Caenorhabditis elegans: one gene and its partner. The protein of the gene in region 2 interacts with the protein of the main gene of each other region in a pairwise test. Each region holds a gene or a part of one and is shown on either strand. Other genes may lie near its edges. The genes, in order: C06E4.2 and F33D4.6.

The links.
Region 1: the proteins of F33D4.6 (region 2) and C06E4.2 interact in a two-hybrid assay, tested with the Caenorhabditis elegans proteins (one large-scale study listed by BioGRID).

The regions. Positions count from the first base shown.
Region 1 is NC_003282.8:7,272,686-7,282,309, reverse strand, and holds the start of C06E4.2 (uncharacterized protein), read right to left. Parts: upstream 5,350-9,624; coding exon 5,325-5,349; intron 1,349-5,324; exon of another isoform or gene 1,207-1,348; intron 969-1,206; exon of another isoform or gene 789-968; intron 548-788; exon of another isoform or gene 527-547; intron 24-526; coding exon 1-23.
Region 2 is NC_003282.8:7,713,819-7,723,442, reverse strand, and holds F33D4.6 (aECM cysteine-cradle domain-containing protein), read left to right. Parts: upstream 1-5,426; 5' UTR 5,427-5,433; coding exon 5,434-5,826; intron 5,827-5,977; coding exon 5,978-6,075; intron 6,076-6,494; coding exon 6,495-6,647; intron 6,648-6,818; coding exon 6,819-6,884; intron 6,885-6,931; coding exon 6,932-7,049; intron 7,050-7,099; coding exon 7,100-7,150; intron 7,151-7,713; coding exon 7,714-7,974; coding exon of another isoform or gene 7,975-8,025; intron 8,026-8,059; coding exon 8,060-8,131; intron 8,132-8,295; coding exon 8,296-9,102; 3' UTR 9,103-9,273; downstream 9,274-9,624. Other genes in the region: pzls-1 (PEHE domain-containing protein), read left to right, coding at 246-374, 859-974, 1,025-1,778, 1,840-1,953, 2,667-2,810; Nuclear hormone receptor family member nhr-8, read right to left, coding at 9,274-9,442, 9,518-9,587.

The DNA of each region.
Region 1 (9,624 bases), 440 kb from region 2:
CGACGACATGGGATTCATACTTCCTGAAAAATTGAAAAATTGATAGCTTGAAGAAGAACTCTTTGGAGTGAGAAAAACGAGATGCTTTCCAAACTGTTGAAGAAGAGGAAAAGGGTATAAAAAATTTATGAGAAAGACCCAGAAAGTAAAGGAATAACTAGTAAGAGAGAGGGTCTACCTGCGGGAATTTTTAAAGTATGGAAAGGAAGCCATAACTTGAAAAAGTCTTGAAACTATTTTTCAAATGTGTTTAATCTTTTTGTAACTTCCTGGTTCAATAGTGTGATCTGAGAGTTATGTGAGATGTTGCTCAAAGTTAAGATTTTTGTTGAAGAGACCAATGAAACAAAACATTGAAAAATGATTGCAATCTAATGTTTTTTTGCAAAATAGATAGAGAGGCGGTTCAAAACTAGGGATACACTAAACAAAATAATTTAAAAATTAATAATCAAGATCTATGTAGTTAAAAACGTAATAGCTAAAACATTTTAAAACATTCGCATCATGTCACTTTTGATGAACTATTTCGCTATAAATCCATGGATTGTTATTTGAACATATGCCTAGACATTTAACTAATATGTGAAACAGTAATTTTTCAAATTTTTTTTAATTAATTTTGTTTTTGAGTTTCACTACTTCGAATCGTTTTTAAAGAGAGCTGAAATATTTTTTTAAAATAAAATACTCAAAATTGTACAAAAGGGAGGCTGGTAGAGTGCGTGGGGCAAGTAAAAGGCTCCCGTTACGCCTCAACAATATGGAATATCAATTCAACGACATACCAAGACTTCCTCATATACTCGGCTTCGCTACGTTCAGTGGCTCCGTAGTTTCAACCGTTTGATGTTGCATTTCAGTTCTAGTATACATCAATTTACGGTTTAACGATAACTAGTTCTTCAGACTTCAAGCTCGTTTCGATATTGGTTGGGTAGACATTGGAATTGGTTACTACATCAAAAATAACTTGAAAAATCTCGTCTTTTATCGAGAAAAAAAAGAGTTCTTGGGCCGTAAGACTGTATAACAAGAGTATAAGATCAACATTTGAGCAAACAGTCTCTCGTTTTCTCATGTGGTGATGCCTGGTCGAGTTGGCATACGTATTTACAAGAGCGTAGAAAAGTGGGATGAGAATTTATAAATTGTTGGAAAAACAGAATCTTTCTTTTTCATTACTGCACGTGGATCTGTGTGTGTGTCTACCGGATTTGTAGTAAAAACAGGAGCGGATTGTGGGATTGAGATGCATGCGTGGGGGGAGAAAAGTCAAGCCGCCAATTTAAAACGAAAAACCCTCAAAACTTTAGTGGGCGATGAGAATGGTTGGGATGGCTTGTGGAAAATGGCCGCCACACAGTAATAGGTAGGTAGGGGGAGATGTTGGTGAAAAAACGAGAAAGATGCATTGCAAAAAAAGAAGATGATGAAAAACGTGTTATTATTTATACGGTAAAAGGAGAAATGGACACATATGCATTTGGAACATTAAAAGTAGCTCGAAAAACTTTCAAATTGGTAGATCTCAGTGACCAAGAAGTCACTGCGGTCAGGGAATTTTAATTTATACTTCTTCTATGTTTCTGTCTTGTACCAATTATGTGTTGGCGGTTTCAGAGTGACCTCTTACTGGCTGAAACTAACTTCAAATTTTCCATTAATTTTTTTTTTGAAAAGTTGAGATTCGCGAATTTTATCTTATCACATGTATTCAAAAGTTAAGAACTTTTGATTTTTTGTTTTTTTCTCAAACTTATTTTAATATTTTTTAAATGACTACTTTAAATGATTCAGAAACTTATCTAATAAAAATTTGGAAAATATAGATTAAAATTTAGCCAGTTTCCTAGAAGTTTAATCTCAAGATAATCTTTATCCTATGAGAAAATAGCTTCTTTAAAAAAAAAAAAATATATATATATACCAGCCGTGCCCCCGACTTCTGGAGCTGAAAACCAATTTTTCTGAAACTACCGTAATCATGCAGTACTCCTACCGTACCACCATTGTACCACTACAGTACCCCGACTATATCCCTACACTAACCCCAACTCACTATCCCTCCAGAAGCTAAAACTTCGCAGACTACAAAGACTACACAGACTACAAACTATGGACAAACGGAATAAGCGCTTTATATATAGTAAATGATGATTCCACAATCGTTCATACAAAATGGTTTCGTAGAGTAATAGGTACATGTTTATATAGGATATCTTCTAACAAATCGATAAGAAACCTCGTACTGATATTTCAATGATAAAATTTTGTTGAGAGAGAGAGAGAGAGAGAGAGAGAGAGAGAGAGAGAGAGAGAGAGAGATATTAGTTAAAAAATAGTTGGCACTAAATACTAATAAAGCAGTAAATCAAAAACTAGTACAGTTAGAACATTGAAACTTGTTTGATGTCAATTTTCATGTCAACATCTTTCACAAAATTCAACATTTCCGTTTCGCAAAAGGTCACAACCTCAACGCAAAGTAATCGAGGATTTCACTCTCTTTCTCTTCTTCAGTCATCCTATGTCAGTCATTACCAGAGAAAATGACACCCGGTTGGTTGCAACTCGAGCGATAATTGGCGCCGCCGGACAGTGGTTGTTGGGTTCCAAATTGAAAGAGCGTGTAATAGAGGAAGGGGACGAAGGCAGTGGTGGTGGGTGACCCTAACCGTTGTAAAGGTAAAAAGGGTAACTAAAGAATCCGATGAAAGGGCAAGTGTAAACTCATTTGACCCGTAGGGGTATCAAACAAATGTTCAATAGGCGTTTGAACACCCTTTCATGGAAAGAATTCATATAATTTTTACATTGAAAATTCATGTCATGAAGCAAGTAAAAATAAAATATTTCGCGGAAAGAAAACGTAAACAAGTCGTTAAGAATTGGAAAATCTAGAATTTTTTGTTGGAAGAATGTGTCTGACAAAAACAAGGGGCTCTTCAGTTTTTTCTCAAATCCTGAAATTTTTTAGGAACTTGAAAACTAGAAAATTAAAAATTTGAAAAAAAATCTATGGCTAAAATACTAAATGATAAGGAAAAAGCTTAATGATAACGGGAGGGTCACTACAAAACCAATCCCACGGAGCAACAACAACCAATTTGACGTGTGTTGGCTAAGTGACAGCAAGTGGCCAAAAAGGTGCAAACAAAAGAAGAAAACTGTTTGATCACCGAGATATATATTCATTTTGGTATGTATGTATGAAAGAAGGTGACTGGGTTCGTATTACACATATAGCATTCGATTACCATAAGAAAGTGAAGAAGATCGCAAGAGCCGAAGATCGAAGAAACGATATTGGAAAGTGAATGGAGAAAATGAGTAGGCGAAAGTGTCAAATGTTTATGTAGTATCTCGAGGGAACGGTACCAAAGTACACGTAGCCGCAAAAATTCGAAAAATTCCAGATGGTATTACCTAGAGTTTAAAACTTGCAAAAAATCTTTAGGCATTCTAGATAACCATTTCCAGTTTCTCAATTTAATGGCTTAGCTAAACACTCTCGTTCAGTAATCCGAAATCCAAACAATTCGCCAGAGAACAGATGTCAGAAGGTTGGTTTAAATGTAAATAAATAGTTTTACTTAATTGTGAATGCTAGCTTCTTGCAAACGGAACGGGTAGAAGGTTTGTATTTCGTGTGAATAATAATATTACACGATCTCTACAGAAAAATATTTATTTGCCATTCAAACACTCAAGTTTACATTCACCTAGCGTGATCTTGATAGAACAAATTAGGTTTGAATAATTCAAAATGCTTTCAAAAGTGACCAGCTACTGAATAAAAAATGAAGTCAGACAACAAACTAACAAGTTTGGTCGTTGGAGGTTCATCCTAATAAATTTTCAAGTAACACAATATTAAAATCAACAAAAAAAGTCTGAACCAGTTTTTGAAAGTGTGAACTTTGAGTGATGAGTTTGAACCACATTTTTGTGCATTCACATATCAATTAAAAATTGAACGCGAGCTCATACGAGAAATACATATCTACCTTCTGCCTTCACAAAAACAAACGGGTTTAAAATCAATAATTATTTGCAAGATACAGAAAAGAATGCTAATTGTCTTTACTTTTCTTTTTTTCGCTAGCCTGGGAATGAATAGTTTGATCTACTGTGTATAAACAACAAGCAAACATCTTATGATTTGAAACATTGAATTTTAAACCCAAAAATTCAGTTAGAGCTTGTGGAAAATAGAACATTCCACTAAACTACATACAGTGCGTACAAGTTCTATACGGCACCCCCCCCCCCCCCCCCCCCCAAAATATGCCCTGTGGCCACGTGTGTCAGTTTTGGTAAAAATCTGCTAATGCCATTCGATTCCAAACCTCAAAAAACCTACTGACATTTTTTTACAGAGTGATAGCTTCAAAATTGAAGTTACTAGGTCAAAAAACGCAAAAAAGGCCGTACAACTTCTATACGCCACCCTGAGATTTTTGTTGAAAATCAGTGATATTGCCAAATTATCAACCTTTTCAGGACCAACTTTTTTAATTGTTCTCCAATTTTCGAGTACCCGTGTATATTTCAACTATTCTCATAAGATTTTCACGTCACAGAATTTTTATAATTTTTTTTGGTCCTGTAAGCCAACTTTGGGAGCCGGCCACTGATGGCGCCCTTATCTCACGTTCCAGCCCTCCAAAAATTCTGAAATTTTTTTCAGTGCTAAAGGAGAATGCTTACATTTCATACTATAACTGCCAAAGTTGTAGGTTCTGTTTAAATAATTCTGTAATTTGTTTTGTGTTAGGTTAGAAAATACGGTAACAGTTATTGATAATTTGGCAATATCACTGATTTTCAACAAAAATCTCAGGGTGGCGTATAGAAGTTGTACGGCCTTTTTTGCGTTTTTTTGACCTAGTAACTTCAATTTTGAAGCTATCACTCTGTAAAAAAATGTCAGTAGGTTTTTTGAGATTTGGAATCGAATGGCATTAGCAGATTTTTACCAAAACTGACACACGTGGCCACAGGGCATATTTTGGGGGGGGGGGGGTGGCGTATAGAACTTGTACGCACTGTATGTAGTTTAGTGGAATGTTCTATTTTCCACAAGCTCTAACTGAATTTTTGGGTTTAAAATTCAATGTTTCAAATCATAAGATGTTTGCTTGTTGTTTATACACAGTAGATCAAACTATTCATTCCCAGGCTAGCGAAAAAAAGAAAAGTAAAGACAATTAGCATTCTTTTCTGTATGTGCTTTATTTTTCTAATAACCTAAATTTGGACGTTGTGAACATTTTCTTTCTTAAAACTGATAGTCAACCTATTCATAGAACACTACTTACCAGGCTCTGTCATTTTCAAAAACATATTCTCCCAAAATGGAGATTAGAGAAAAGTGAATTTGGAACTTGGCAGATGTGAATATATAATGAAGGTAGGAACTTTTTGTCCAAAAAAAAAAAGAAGTCAGTGAGGGAGAAAGTGCGAAAACTTTTGGTTTTACTTTTCCAAAAGCCCCAAGTAATGGGAAAGAAAAACATAAGGAATGGCATGATGAGATCTCAGTGGGATTTCATTTGTAACTGGTTCCAGTTCAAACTGAAACACAACAGACACACATACGACAGTTTCTCAAAAAACAAGCGGAACACAATAAATCAAGGACATTTGAGTGAGGAAGAAGTAGAACATGCAGTTATACCCAAACCAATAACTCTTTGATATAACCTGAACAGAGATTTGCTAGTGGTGTTCATGAATTATGTATGTATGTGTAAATACAAATCAAACTTGACCGGAAAACACAATAATGTAGAAAAGGAACAGGTAAGTGGATGGGAAGTGCATACTACTTTTACTTCCCACTACCAAATACCATCAACATCATAATACACTTCATTCGAGTGTGCAACTTCCTGTTTCAAGAGGTCGGGAATATGAGAGAAACAATACGGGATTATGTTCATATTGGAGCATTTTTCTCATACTGAAGCCTGCACTGTATTTTTGTAAAAGTTTAGCCCGGGTTTCAAAACGACTTGCATATTTACGTTAAAGTTTTTGGTGCTCATTTTTCCAGGTTCTAAGTTCACATATCTGAAAAAATAAACAATATTGGAGACTAAATGGGGCTTAGGAAACTGAATTTAAAAACTTACAATTATTTCCTAAATTCAAAACAAAGTTTGTGTGACTGTTTTACGATATTTGAAGCTCAAAAGTGTGTCAAGTATTAGATCTATGTCAAAATCTGCTTCTCCTAACATGAGAAATGGCATGATTCAGAACGTTTTGTTGCACTACCTGCTGAAAACCGAGTCGCTTTTGTCAACATCATCACTCCATCATAACATAAAAAACGGGGAAAACCCATTACATGTTATGGGTATGAATGTCAAATGAGACGGCTTTCTGACAGCCTTTTGATGCACTTCGGTTCCGGATACAGACACGAAAAAGTGGCTAGAAAACAATAATATAAAGTTGTAGACTATGATGGGATCCACCGGATTTTTCAAGACCGGTCAATGGCATGAAAGTGGTGCTCTTCGTTCGTGAAATCTGATACGCGTGTGGAAAAGTGTCGGGTTAGAATTTCAAAAAAAGAAAGAAATATGTGTGTGTGTGGCCGATGGTCTTGAAATGAAAAATAAAAGACAACTATTCATCTGCAAATGACACTTATATATTGAAATCGGGAGCTGACCGACTGCCTGGTACAATTTATTATGCTATTAGTCTTCTTCATTTTTATTTTACGACGTGGTTTAGTGATTTGTGTATGAGAAACCTGACTGTTAATGGGCTTTATTAACTGGTTGATGCATCAAGTGATAAGGTCACTAGACACAAGGAATTGTTTTTGTAAAAATCTAAAAAGTATCAATTAACCTATTTGTTTCGTGAGAAGTTAAAGTGCAAAAAACGATAGGTTCCACCGAGATTTGAACTCGGGTCGCAGGATTCAAAGTCCTGAGTGCTAACCGCTACACCATGGAACCGGTAAAAGCGCCGTGTCAATAAAGCGGTCTAGTGATTTTATCGGAAACATCAATATAATGACAAGAAAAGCGTAATGTACAAACATGTGAGGAAAGGAGGAGAAGAGTGGCAACCTGGTGGAGAAATCTGCCAAATTGAGTTACTTGTCATCCGTTTTCCGTTGGAATTTGTTTCGAAATGTCTTCCGAAATCGCATAACGAGGTTCCCCCCGTCCGCCAACTCAAGATTTGAGAGAAAAATATGCTCAAACGATATGAAAGAATCTATAAATATCAACTTCCTGTTTCAATTTTTGTTGAAAAAGGAATAAAGAAATGAAGAACAAAGATGAATTGAATCATACTCCTCAAATATAAATCTCTACTATGAATATAAAGATTAGAAATCAAAATTTATAAATGATTTCTTTCTTTCAAATATCACATCCGCTTCTCCACTTTTACATTGCAGTTTAGTGTCTTTTTTTGTTCTGAAATAACAAGAAATTTGAAAGAAAACCATATAATAAACAAATAAATTAGATGTCCGGTATTATTTTTGATTCGGAACTAGCAGTGTCGCGACATAAACTTTTAAAAAATCTGAAAAAACCAAAAACAAAAGAAGCTGTTTTTATTTTAAAAAAACTACGATTTTTAATTTGAACACACAAGAACTCTTCGAACAACAAAATTCCAAAAGTTGTAAGTAATTTTGTAAAAAAAAAAGTTTATTAGGAAAACGAAGCATTTCAAATATAAAATAATTCTGGTATACCAGTAATAGTTTTAAAAAATCGGAACCATTGATTTGTAATATTTTAGACCCACTTTCAAGCAGGATCCGATAAATATTTGTCTTTCATTGTCGCCAAGCTAAATTTTAAAAATATTTGTTAGCTTTTTTTTTCTTCCAGGTAACATTAAAATGTTTTGAAACCGTTTCAGCCGTTTAGGATATGATTTATTGAAAATTTATATCTTCGTTTTTGTACGTTCAACAATGAAATAAAATCCTTTTGTCAATAAATCAAATATATATTTTAAAGAACGGATGAAGATACTTGAGATTGTCCGTTCGCGCCATTCACTTATTTTTGGTTACTATTGTCTCTCATCAAACTACTTTTTTGTATAGAGTATGATTGCTTTATTGAAAACACCTGGCTAGTTCCAGACAACTATTCTTTGTGACGAATGGTTTCAGTGTGTAACTCTACTCGAGAAAAACTACAAGAAATATGAAATTAGTTGCAATTGATTTTTTCTGAATTTTTTCGAAAACAACAGCTGTCAGAAGATCGCCACATGCCGTTTTTTTTTGAAAATAAATTGGGCAATCGAAATAAACGAATTCTCATTTTTGGTAATTATTTCTATGAATCAATTCTAGAGTCTCGAAAAAAAAATTCTCCGAATGTTTTCTTGCTATCGAACTGTCTTTTTTCTGTGATTTTTTGAAATAAAAAACATTCGAATAAATTCGAATCTTGTTTTTATGTCTGAAATTTAGACTTTCCTAAGAATTGTTTATTAACTCTCTAAAGAAGATACGTATATAAAAGCTTAGCAACTGTGGAAAAATGTTTTGAATCTATGTCCTTCCTAAGATTTTTGAGCTTAGGCAACATTTTAAAGATTTTACAGTAAGAGGTACTTACGTAGTATGCTATGTATAGATATTTCCTCAAAATGTACTCATAGACGCTCTGTCCGGTCAAAGCGTGGAGGCGCCTCCGCGGCCTTATTGCCCTTATTGGTTTCCTTGTGTGAAGCGTTATGGTGCTTCAAAAAAAAATTCAAGCCAAAGAATAAAAATAAAACTGCCGAGTTTTGAAGAGTTATAGGTTTTTTCTTTATGTTTTTTACACCTTTCGTTCAGAATGCAAATGCATACTTATCGAGTTTCAGTGTAAAGATTCCCAGTATTAACTCTCAAAAACAACTATTCTATTGGAAAATGAAACTATGTGCCATTTTGAAGCTTCTTTTCCAGTAACCTCATTTTTAGGAACTCCTAGGTTTTTATGTTGTGTTGGCTGTTCTCTGAACATCCTCATAGTTCACAAAAATAAGATCCGCCATCCATTTCAGTCGGAAACAACAACATTTTCCCCACTTTTTCAATATAATCTCATCTGACAAATCGCCTCCTGCTTCCTGTCCTCGAGGGAATTTGAAATTCGACCTGGAACGCGAAAGTTTCCTTTTCTTTTTGAATATGTATATCCCAAAATATTTGCTCTTCTTCTTATTTCCGTCTTGTTCAATTCAAATGTTTTTGTTTCTATAACTTTTAGAGAATTCACTTGCGTGATTCAATGTCATTTTGGAAAGAACATCCCATCCCAAATAAAATAGGGAAAAATAGATATAAAATCGGGTCATCCTCAAGTCGAGCTTGGAGCACAGACGGCCTCCGAAAATTCATTTAACAGCGTCCGGAGGGCGGAGAATGACCAGAAATGACGAAATTTTAAACGAAGAAGAAGTCGAAGAAACGGAGATGAGATTCCTGAGAGTACAACGGCAAGACATGACTTTTCAATTTTCATTAAGGCCTAAGTTCAGAGAACTATTAGACTTTCTTCAAATTTCCAAATGCGTTTCAGTCAGATCACGTTCCAATTTTTTCTGCTTTTCAAAGTCTCGATTATAGCT
Region 2 (9,624 bases):
CTACAACAAGACCTACTCTTAACTTTCTTGCTCAATTGAAAATCAGACACATTTTTTTATAACCGAGGCTTTGACAAATTATTTTTGCTTTAAGATATTTATGCGTCTAGACTTTTATTGTCAAGTTGGGTATACCTGAAAGTATTCCCAAAATATCTGAAATTTTTTAGAAAACTTTATTTTATTTATTTAAATTTCGTCTCGAAAAGTTTTGAAATTTTCAATATTTGGTGTTCTTTTTAGAAATGGCGTCATTCACATCACCCGACATCGATGAGAAGCTTGCAATTCTTCACAGAGAAATGGCATCTCTACGTGTCGAATGTGACCGTCTTCTCAACAAACATCTCATCGTTGAGCACACTCTTTCACAGGTAAACATAATTGTTTATCACTTGGAACACTTGGATTTATCACCAGTAGTTTCTTATTTTCACTAAGAGTCAGTCGTGAAGTTTTTATTGCTTGTTTTATAGATGTTTTGAACATTCACGGCGAACTTTACGAAAAAAAAACAAAATTACGTTTGTTCTTGAATAGTTTTTGTGGTTGTTTTTTGATAGCTGCACGTCCAACGGAAATAATTTTTGATGTAGTTCGCTATTTTAGAACTGTCAATACTTGAAAAATATCTATATGAATGTCAAAGTAACTTACTAAAAAATTTAAATCTACTCATAAATTATCTGAACTGACAAAACCGAAATTATTGATTTTAATTAGATTTGTTTTCCAAACACTTTGAGATATAAATATAACTGGCAAACAACAAAACTGCTCAACTCATCCAAAAAACTAAAAAAGCTTTAAAAATCCAGGCAAAGATTCTATCTGAAAAAAATTTGTTCTTGATTTCAGAGTTGCTCTGGTTGGCCGAACGGAGCTGCTGATACTTCTTCAGCGTACAATACGGGTGGTGAATCTTGTAGAAGTGTGTCAGTGACGCCCGATGGTGTTTTTATACCCACAACCAGGTTGGTTAATTACAATAATTACGCAATAAATATCTTTTTGATTTTTAAAGTAATTCTCAAATGATCCAGTCACAACCATCTCCACGAGTTCTCCGTCGAACTGTTAAGATGGCAAGTCCAGCAGTTCAACGACGTTTAGTTCCACAAAATCTTCCAACATCATCTTCATCTCGACCTCCAACAGTTCTACTTCCTCATGACAGTCCTGAACAACCCAGTCGACCAATTCACAGAATGCATCAGGAACTTCCGATTCCAGAAGATGTTGTGTCAATGGTGTCATCAAATAAAACTCAGAGATCTATTATCCGGGCTCCATCTGCCGTTTTTGGAGCATTAAAAGGAAGCAGTTTGAGGAAATTATCAATTTCTCGAAATATTCAAATGACTACTAAAGTCAATAAAGAAGAAAGTGATCGAAAAGAGAAAGAAGCTGAAGAATACGCGAAAAGATTCCGAATTCCATCGTATTCAGTTGTATTGAAAGAAGAAAAACGAAAAAGTTCTTTCCGAATTCCAGTTCCGCATTACTTTCGATCCTCAAAAGCGAAATCAAAAGTATATCAAGTTGATGCTCCAGATGAAGAAATTGAAGAAGTTATTGATGAAGAGAAAATGGCTGCAAAGACTGATTTGGGAGACACAACTGTTCATTACAAATGGAAAGTTAAACGAAGATGTGATGGATCAAGATATATTGTCAAAAGACCAATTCGAAGTCAAATTTTGAAAAAAAGAGAAGCACAGGTGTATCGTGAACGAGCACCAATTTCAACCGATGATGATGCAATGAGCGAATTAAAGGTTTGTCACTGAAAAATATAAATTAATCTGCATTTCAAATAGCTTTACTGATTCTTTTCAGCTTGGAAGGTATCACACGAAGGAAGAAAGAAAAAGGATATTGGAAAGAGAGAACACGAAAAAAATGTTGAAGCTTCAGCAAAAAATGATGGAAAAGGCACATCCGTCGGAGCAGGTAATGTTGTTTTCTTTTGAAAGAAATAGGTTTGTGGTGTGCCCTCACAAAAGTTTATTTTTTAATGAGGAAATTATCAACAGAAGTGAATACAAAAAGATTAGGCTTCTAGGCAGACATTGAATCACTCTCAATCATTATAAAATCCTACAGAGCAAGCGCGAAGAATATAGGTCACAATTAACCGGCATACAGGCCGGATAGATCAAACTAAAGATCTTGTGTGCGCGGGACCACTTTAATAGATCGGAACGTCAATTGGTGTCAATTTAATATTTTCAAAATCTTTTCGAAAACACACATTCTTACCCGATATAACATTTTTAATGCAATTTCAGTTTCACAATTAAATAAAAAATTAATTCACAAGATACATTTTTAAATAGGACGACTTTGAGATGACCAATACTAAAAGTTTGGACCAAATTATTTCGGAGTTACATTGAGCATGAAAGATAGAAATTTTCAGAAAGATCTGTTGAAATCTTTTACTATTGAATTACACTATTGTCGTTTCAAAGTCAGGAGTAACGTGTTGAACATTTTTATTCAAGAAAATATTTCAAATTGATATTTTGACTTTCCATTGTCACACTTAAAAAAATACTTAGCCAACATTTTGGAACAATTGAATGAAAGGTTACAAATTTAAAAATAATCTTAGTTTCTTACATTTATTATTTTTCATCTTCTTGAAACAATATTTTTTCCAGGTAATATATCAAATGTCACAACAAAAGCTTGCTCGCCAAAAAGACGCAATGGTAATGGATGAATTTGTAACAACAAGAGAAGTACTTTCAAGTCGAACACGCCCAGATGGTATTCATGGAGTTGTTTCAGTCACAACCGTATAAACATTCATATTTTCTCATATCTTCTCGAAAAGCCTACTTCACAAAATTACGGATAAATTCTTATTTTAATTCACTGTTTCAAACAATTTTTAAAAGACACAACCAATCGGCAAAATAATTTCATGTGACCTCAAATTCGTCCCACCTTTCGAATATCTACGAATTTTTTTAAACTCGCTGGTTTTGTATGCCGACCTGAAACTGTCAATTTTTTTTGAGCACTAATGGTGAAAAATATCGAGAGCGAATTTTTAAAAGAATATTATGGAGTTGTGTTTATATGTTTACATTATCTTTTTTGTTAATCCTGCAGTCTAATACAAAAATAATTCAAATCAGAAGCGGGAATGATTTTGAAGTAGAACAAGTGGATTTAATAAGGATTGACCAATCTCCCCCACGTCTACAAACTTAAAACATTTTCTCCTCGAGGAGGTCTCCGCCGTTTTGTTTGGTCATTCAAGAAAGCGAGTTTTTTGATAGTGTATGTTCGTGGATCGGAACACTTGATAACAGAAAAAGAATGGATGAAAATGAAAATGGAAAAAGTCGTTAGTAGTTTATTTCTGTCAGATAGAAACTAAACAAATAAAAACGAAATGTAAAGTAGTAATGAAGTTAATTGTGAAACGGAAAAACCATGCAAATCAGGTAAATGAGATTAAAGTGACCATATAATTTTGAAGTAAATCCAAGAACGCTTTCTTTTTTTGGTGAAATTTTTGAATTTGGATTATTTTTTCTAACTCGTGTTATAAATAACTTTTATGACAAAAACGATTTGAAGTTTGATAGGCAAAAATATCTTCCTACAAAGTGAATCGTAAATTGACAGAATCTTTAGGTACAATGAACTAAAATTCCATATCTTACATTGCTACGAAATGAACATAAAATCTACACATGTGGTTCGCCATTTTTAAATACTTTTGAGCACTAATATTTTAGATGCGTTTTTCAAATAGCTAGTTTTCCTGCGGTGACACCAAAATTTCAGCAATATTTAGTAGAGACCTCGGGAGGTGACAATTTCAAAAATATAAAATATAAAAATAAAAAATTCTTGATAAGTATTGCCCTTATTACAAGTGTGATAACTACATTTCATAAGTACTTTTTAACTGCGAAACATCTGTATAAAATACAAAAATAAGCTACGATATTTGACAAAGGAATTCCCGAAAAAAGTGAGTTTTCATCGCCACAAATTTATTCATAATTCTCCGAGACCTGATCTTGAAAATTGCATTCGATTCCGACACGTTTTTACGTGAAGATAAATGTTTTGTTGGGTCATAAACGGAAATATCTATCTCCGTACCTTATCTATCACTTAATTTAGCAGCTAACATAGCATCTTTTTCTTTCTTTTTTTTAATAATTTTCACGCATCTTTCTCTATATCTCTTCTATCCAGAATGTGCGTATTCAAAAACTGGCTTGTTTGTTTCAAGCGGTGGCGTCGTCGATTCCGATTCTCGTATTTCCCTATCAGGCTTCTCCTCTCGATTCTTTGCCCCCCTAAAAGAGAACTTGATCGAGACCTCTTTTTGCGAATATTCTTCTGAGATCTTGTGTGCGTTTCTCTTTTTGTTGCTGTTTCTTCCTCCCGCCTCCTGTGCCTTCATAGAGTCAGTCACAATTGGTGATAATAAGATACATTTCATTGTGTTTGAAACTCCCAATTTCATTCTTCATTAGGTGATTCTCTTATGTAGATTTGAGCCTTTGACTCTGAACTTTTTTTTTTAATTTTTACCGTTGAAACGCTAGAAAGTGATAACCAATCACCATATCCGGTGTTTGTTTCAAAGTATTATTATTGTTCTTTAGAATTTGAATCTAGCACCCTAAAACGGACAGTAGAAAATTTTGAAAATTCCAACCTTTTTTGGTGATAAAATTGTCGCTTACTGTCGCTTACCTATGCTTTTTGTTAGGCTAGTTTACCAGGTCCATCTACGCCTCACGTCCAAGAGTTAAGATTGGACAAAGAAGGAGTATCAAAGAAAAGACGGCAGGTTACGTTAGGATTACTGTAGAAGTTTTTCTACTGCTATACAATTATCCAGTGTTGCAGAACTCCTTTCACACTTTTCTCTACGCATAATCGAAGATTTGCAAGCCCACATTAGCGCATGCAAGCAAGATTACATGCTTATCTAAAAACCGATCGGGCTAATAGAAACCGTCATTATTATATATAATATCTTGTTTCCGTTTTTCGTCACTTATGCCTCATGCATCAAATTCACTCTGAATAGAGTGTGGAAAAGATGGACGTTAGCATTTTCCTAATAGTTCTCCTTCTCTCACTTCTAATTACCAACTTTCTCTCGGTCCACACGTAATTTTTCTATTTATTTATGTACAGGTAGCTTGGTGAAAGGGGCGGGATGAAGTAGCCGACAGACATTCCCCCGGGTTGAACGCTTCATTTCCTTTTACTTTTGGATTCTTTCCGGGGCTTTCTGGCGTTCATTCTTCTTCATTACCCATTTCATTTGGTACTTTTTGTTTGAACATCTGAGAATTGATTCTTGATTTTTTTTTTCATTTTGTCCAAACTTCGTGGTTTTTTTTTTGTTTTTTAGGACTAATTAGAATTAAATGTATGTTTCAGATGAGACATCTCTTTGTATTATTGCCAGCTCTTCTGGCAATTACTAATGCTCAAGATCATTCAATTGACATTCGAGCACTTGTACGAGATACAATTGATGCAATCAAAGAAGTTCCAGAGATGATGAAGAATCAGAATCAAACATCCACAAGTTCTACGCCAGACGTATCCACTCCTCAACCAGAGAAAGTTGTCAAGGCTCGCGAAGATGTTTATGATTCCCTTTTGAAACTTCCTTCTGATATTATGTCTCAACTTGCAAGAGATGCAGGATTTGTTAGCGAGAAAGATCAGAAGATTCAGAAAAACGCTGAAGTATCAGAGAAAAAGAAAGAAGAGACCGAAAGAGTTGAAAAGAAGAAAGAAGATGACGAGTCGTTCAGCTTCAAGACGGTAAGTAAACATTGACAGACAAGGCAAAGTACATCCGGGAACATATCCAATTGGGTGTGAAAGTTCTTCGCAATCTGTCATTCAAAAAAGTTATTGCTTTCACTTTCAAAGCATGCTAACTAAAATTGTTGAAACAAAACAAGCATTACAGGTAGATGACGTTAAAAAAGAAGAAAGAAAAGAAGAAATTGAACGTCCATCTGTTGCAGCAAAAGCTGATGATAATGAGGATATCTTCTCCATCTCAAGGTAAACTTTCAAGTTGAAGGTAACCTTAACTGTATGGCTTTGCATTCAAAATATTTTAATTGCATGTTTTTTTGCAAGATCAATAATAAGTGCTGGCAAAAATAGATAGATAACTGAAAAACTAGAAGTGTTAGAAAAACAAAATGCTGAAAAAATACATTTTCTTTAAACATAGTTGAACTTTTTTGCAAGCATTTATAGAGGTGTCGGAGTTTTCCTGCACTGCAATTTTAACTAATTATACTGATTTGAAAACCATTTTTAAATGTATATATTTTTCTTATTATTTTAGCTCTTCAAATATATATTTTGGGAACAAACCGTTTCCTGTAAAAACTCAAAACGAATTGAAAGTAGTCTTGTTTGGAAATTTGCATTGAACTCTACTAGTAACTAACTACAATAACCATCCATTCCAGACTTATATCAGCTACTGGAAATGCAATCAGAGAAGCACAGGCTGCTCAAGCTGCTCAGAAGCCGCAACAGACTCCACAACAGGAACCAATGATCACCTTGCCACCTCTTGTTCCATTGCCACCAGTACCACTTCAAATGCCCGCTCTTCACATGTAAGACAGCTAAATGTCATTTTGACTTCATCTTTTTCATGTTCTTGACGTTTGACACTCACTAACCAGCTAAACCGGTTTAAAAAGGGGGAAGTGAAAATGTCGGGTGGCGTTGGTCAAAGAAGAAGCTAAGAAACAAGGGTTTGTGAGTGACCGTTTGTCATATTTCAGACCAACAACTGCCGCTCAACCAGTCACTGAAATCATGTATCGTCCGGTAACCAGAGACGGAAAGACGTGAGTATTGAAAGCACACTGCTTGTCAAAAATGTTTTGTCTTTTAGTGTCTACGAACAGGTTGTTGTTTTGAAAGAAGCGAACGGATCAGTCAAAATTCTTCCAAACACCTTGCTTCAACAGTTACCTGAAGTTTCGACAAAGAGAGTAGAGATTAAACAAGTGGTTCGTCGGGCTTTGTATAATTGAATTATCGCGTTACCAATTTTTTTTAGAAATCCCGGTCTGAGGCTACTGAATTCTTGGCCCCAACATTCCCTCCAATGGTAAGTTAATATTTTTCATGAATTTCAATACTTTTGTTTTACTACATATTTGGAAAACGTTTTATCAGTATCACTTCAAAGCACGAATGACCAGGACTGCGCAGCAACAGTGTGCATGTTCTCCGTTATTTTACATTAAATTTCGAAGTTGTAATATAGAGAAATATTTACTTTATCTGAAAATGCGTTTTGTTTGATTTGGGACTGATTTGGACTGAGAAAGTGCTCAAAAATTATCTGAAAGTTGAAATTATCTGGGGGAACATTACCGAAAAATTGTTCGGCAATTTTCACCAGCAATTTTGAACTCATACGATTTTTGATTATTTTTCCAATTTATTCAAATAAAATGGTAGTTATTTTTCAATAAAGTAAATAATTGTCTATACTTTATCATTAAATTTATTGACAAATATCGGGGAACAAGTCCCACTGTCTTATTTTGTAGAAGTGCTGAAGTGGCTCCATAAATGCATCCAAGAAACTGAAAAATGAAAGTAAAAATTTGAAAAAAAAACCCACACAAAAACTACAAAGTATAGTTTCAATTCCATTATTTTCAGATCAACTTGTTCACTGATCCAACAACCACTACCACTCCAACCACTACCGAAGAACCAGAAGTCACGACAATTGAAGAAGTTGAGCAAGAGACAATTAAACCAAAACGCAAGTCCCTTCCAAGACGAAAGATTCATTATCTTGAAAAAAAGGGAAAAGACATGCATTCTCGTCAATTTGGAGCAAAAACTGTTCAGATGAGTGATCCAATCGATATTCAAGCACAGGAGGAACAGGAACCAGTCAATATTCTTCAAAAAGAGGTAAGTCTTATTTATTCTCTCTCTCTTCTTGGTATACTCTGTTCATTCTAATCAATCACATTTGCTAATCTAACACTTGTCTCAGGGAAGCATTCGTGTGTACAGCATCAATCGTAAAAGAAAGATTCGCAAACCACGTGTCGTCAAAGTTGAAGAAGTAACTTTTTGTTTTATGCACTTTTAGATGCCTTCGGATAAGTTAATTTTGGGGGCCTTTTTAATTTGCACTCAATTGCTGTCAGCACGTTAGCTGCAAATTCAACTAATAACTCATTTGGGAATATCTTTTTAGTTTAAAAATCCTCATTTTTATCATTTCAGAATGAAAAGGTTGAAGAGAAACCAGTTGAGGAGGAAGAAGAAGCAACGACTGAACCACCAAAGAAGAAGAGAAAGATGAGAAAGAGTCACAAAACATCAAAGAAAGAAAAGAAAGAGATCCGCAAGTTCCCAGATCTTTATGACGAGCAATGGAAGACCCAAGTGGCTCCAAGTGTTTCCCCACCATCCGAAGAGTTTGCTGAGCAATTCGATGGAGTTGATGAGGTTCAAGAGAGCCCAAAAAGACAGGAAACAACCCAACAAGAAGTTCAAAATGATACTCCAATGAATGATGCTATCGAACAGAGAAGCAGCAAGGTTCAGATGTTGACAAAAGAGCAGGAAGAAGAACTTTTGAATAAGGAGGTTAGAAAGAGAGTTATGAAGAGAATTCGTCTCTCAAAAATGAAGACTACAACCACAACAACTACTACTGAAGCTCCAACAACTACACCAGAAGAAGAAGAGGAAGAAGTTGTGACAGCTGCCGTGGAACAGGAAGAGGAAGATGATGTTATTGAAGCAGAAGAGTTAGTTGAAGATGAAGAAGAAGATGTAACAACCACCACCACCACTGAAGCTCCAGTTACACGTGCTCAACGTGTCAAGAAAAACAAAAAGAGAGCTGTTGTGACAAAGCATCAATGCTTGAACCTTCGTAGCTTCGCACGTCAATTCTTGTTTGATACCGTTGAAGAGTTCGCAAAAGAGCACTGTTACTTTATTGAGAACTATTATCCAGCACTAACATGTGCTCGTTCTCATGCTTATGTTGCCAAGTGCCAAAAGTGGTTGAAAGAGGAGTAATTAATTAATACCTTTATATTAATTTTTATTTTGATTTCGATCCAGATCTACGTGTATTTGTTTGTAATATTTTCTCCATCTTTCTGCCCTTGACTTTTGTGCAATTTTCTCAAAAACTTTCTCATGTTAATAAGTGTGCAATATGTGCAATAATTCATGGTTAATAAATGGTTATTCAAAAGAACATAATTCTCGTATCAGAGGATCCAATTGAGCAATATCTAGTCCATAAAACACACGAAGTAAGGTCCTATTCACACGATGAAGCTCGACGACTTGATTCAGAAGATTACTGTATGCAATGTCAGCACGTGATTTACCATATTCAAATGTAAGAAGTCTGAAAGTAGGACAATATTAAAAATGTTATAATCAAAAAGTTATACAATACGTGCTTTTCTCGTACAGTACTTACTTCAAGAGCATCTGGAAATATTTTGCTTGTGTTGAGTGCACTCGTTTACTATCACGTAAGTTGGAGACATCTGAATTAATAACTTTAAAACGAATCAATTTTGAAAA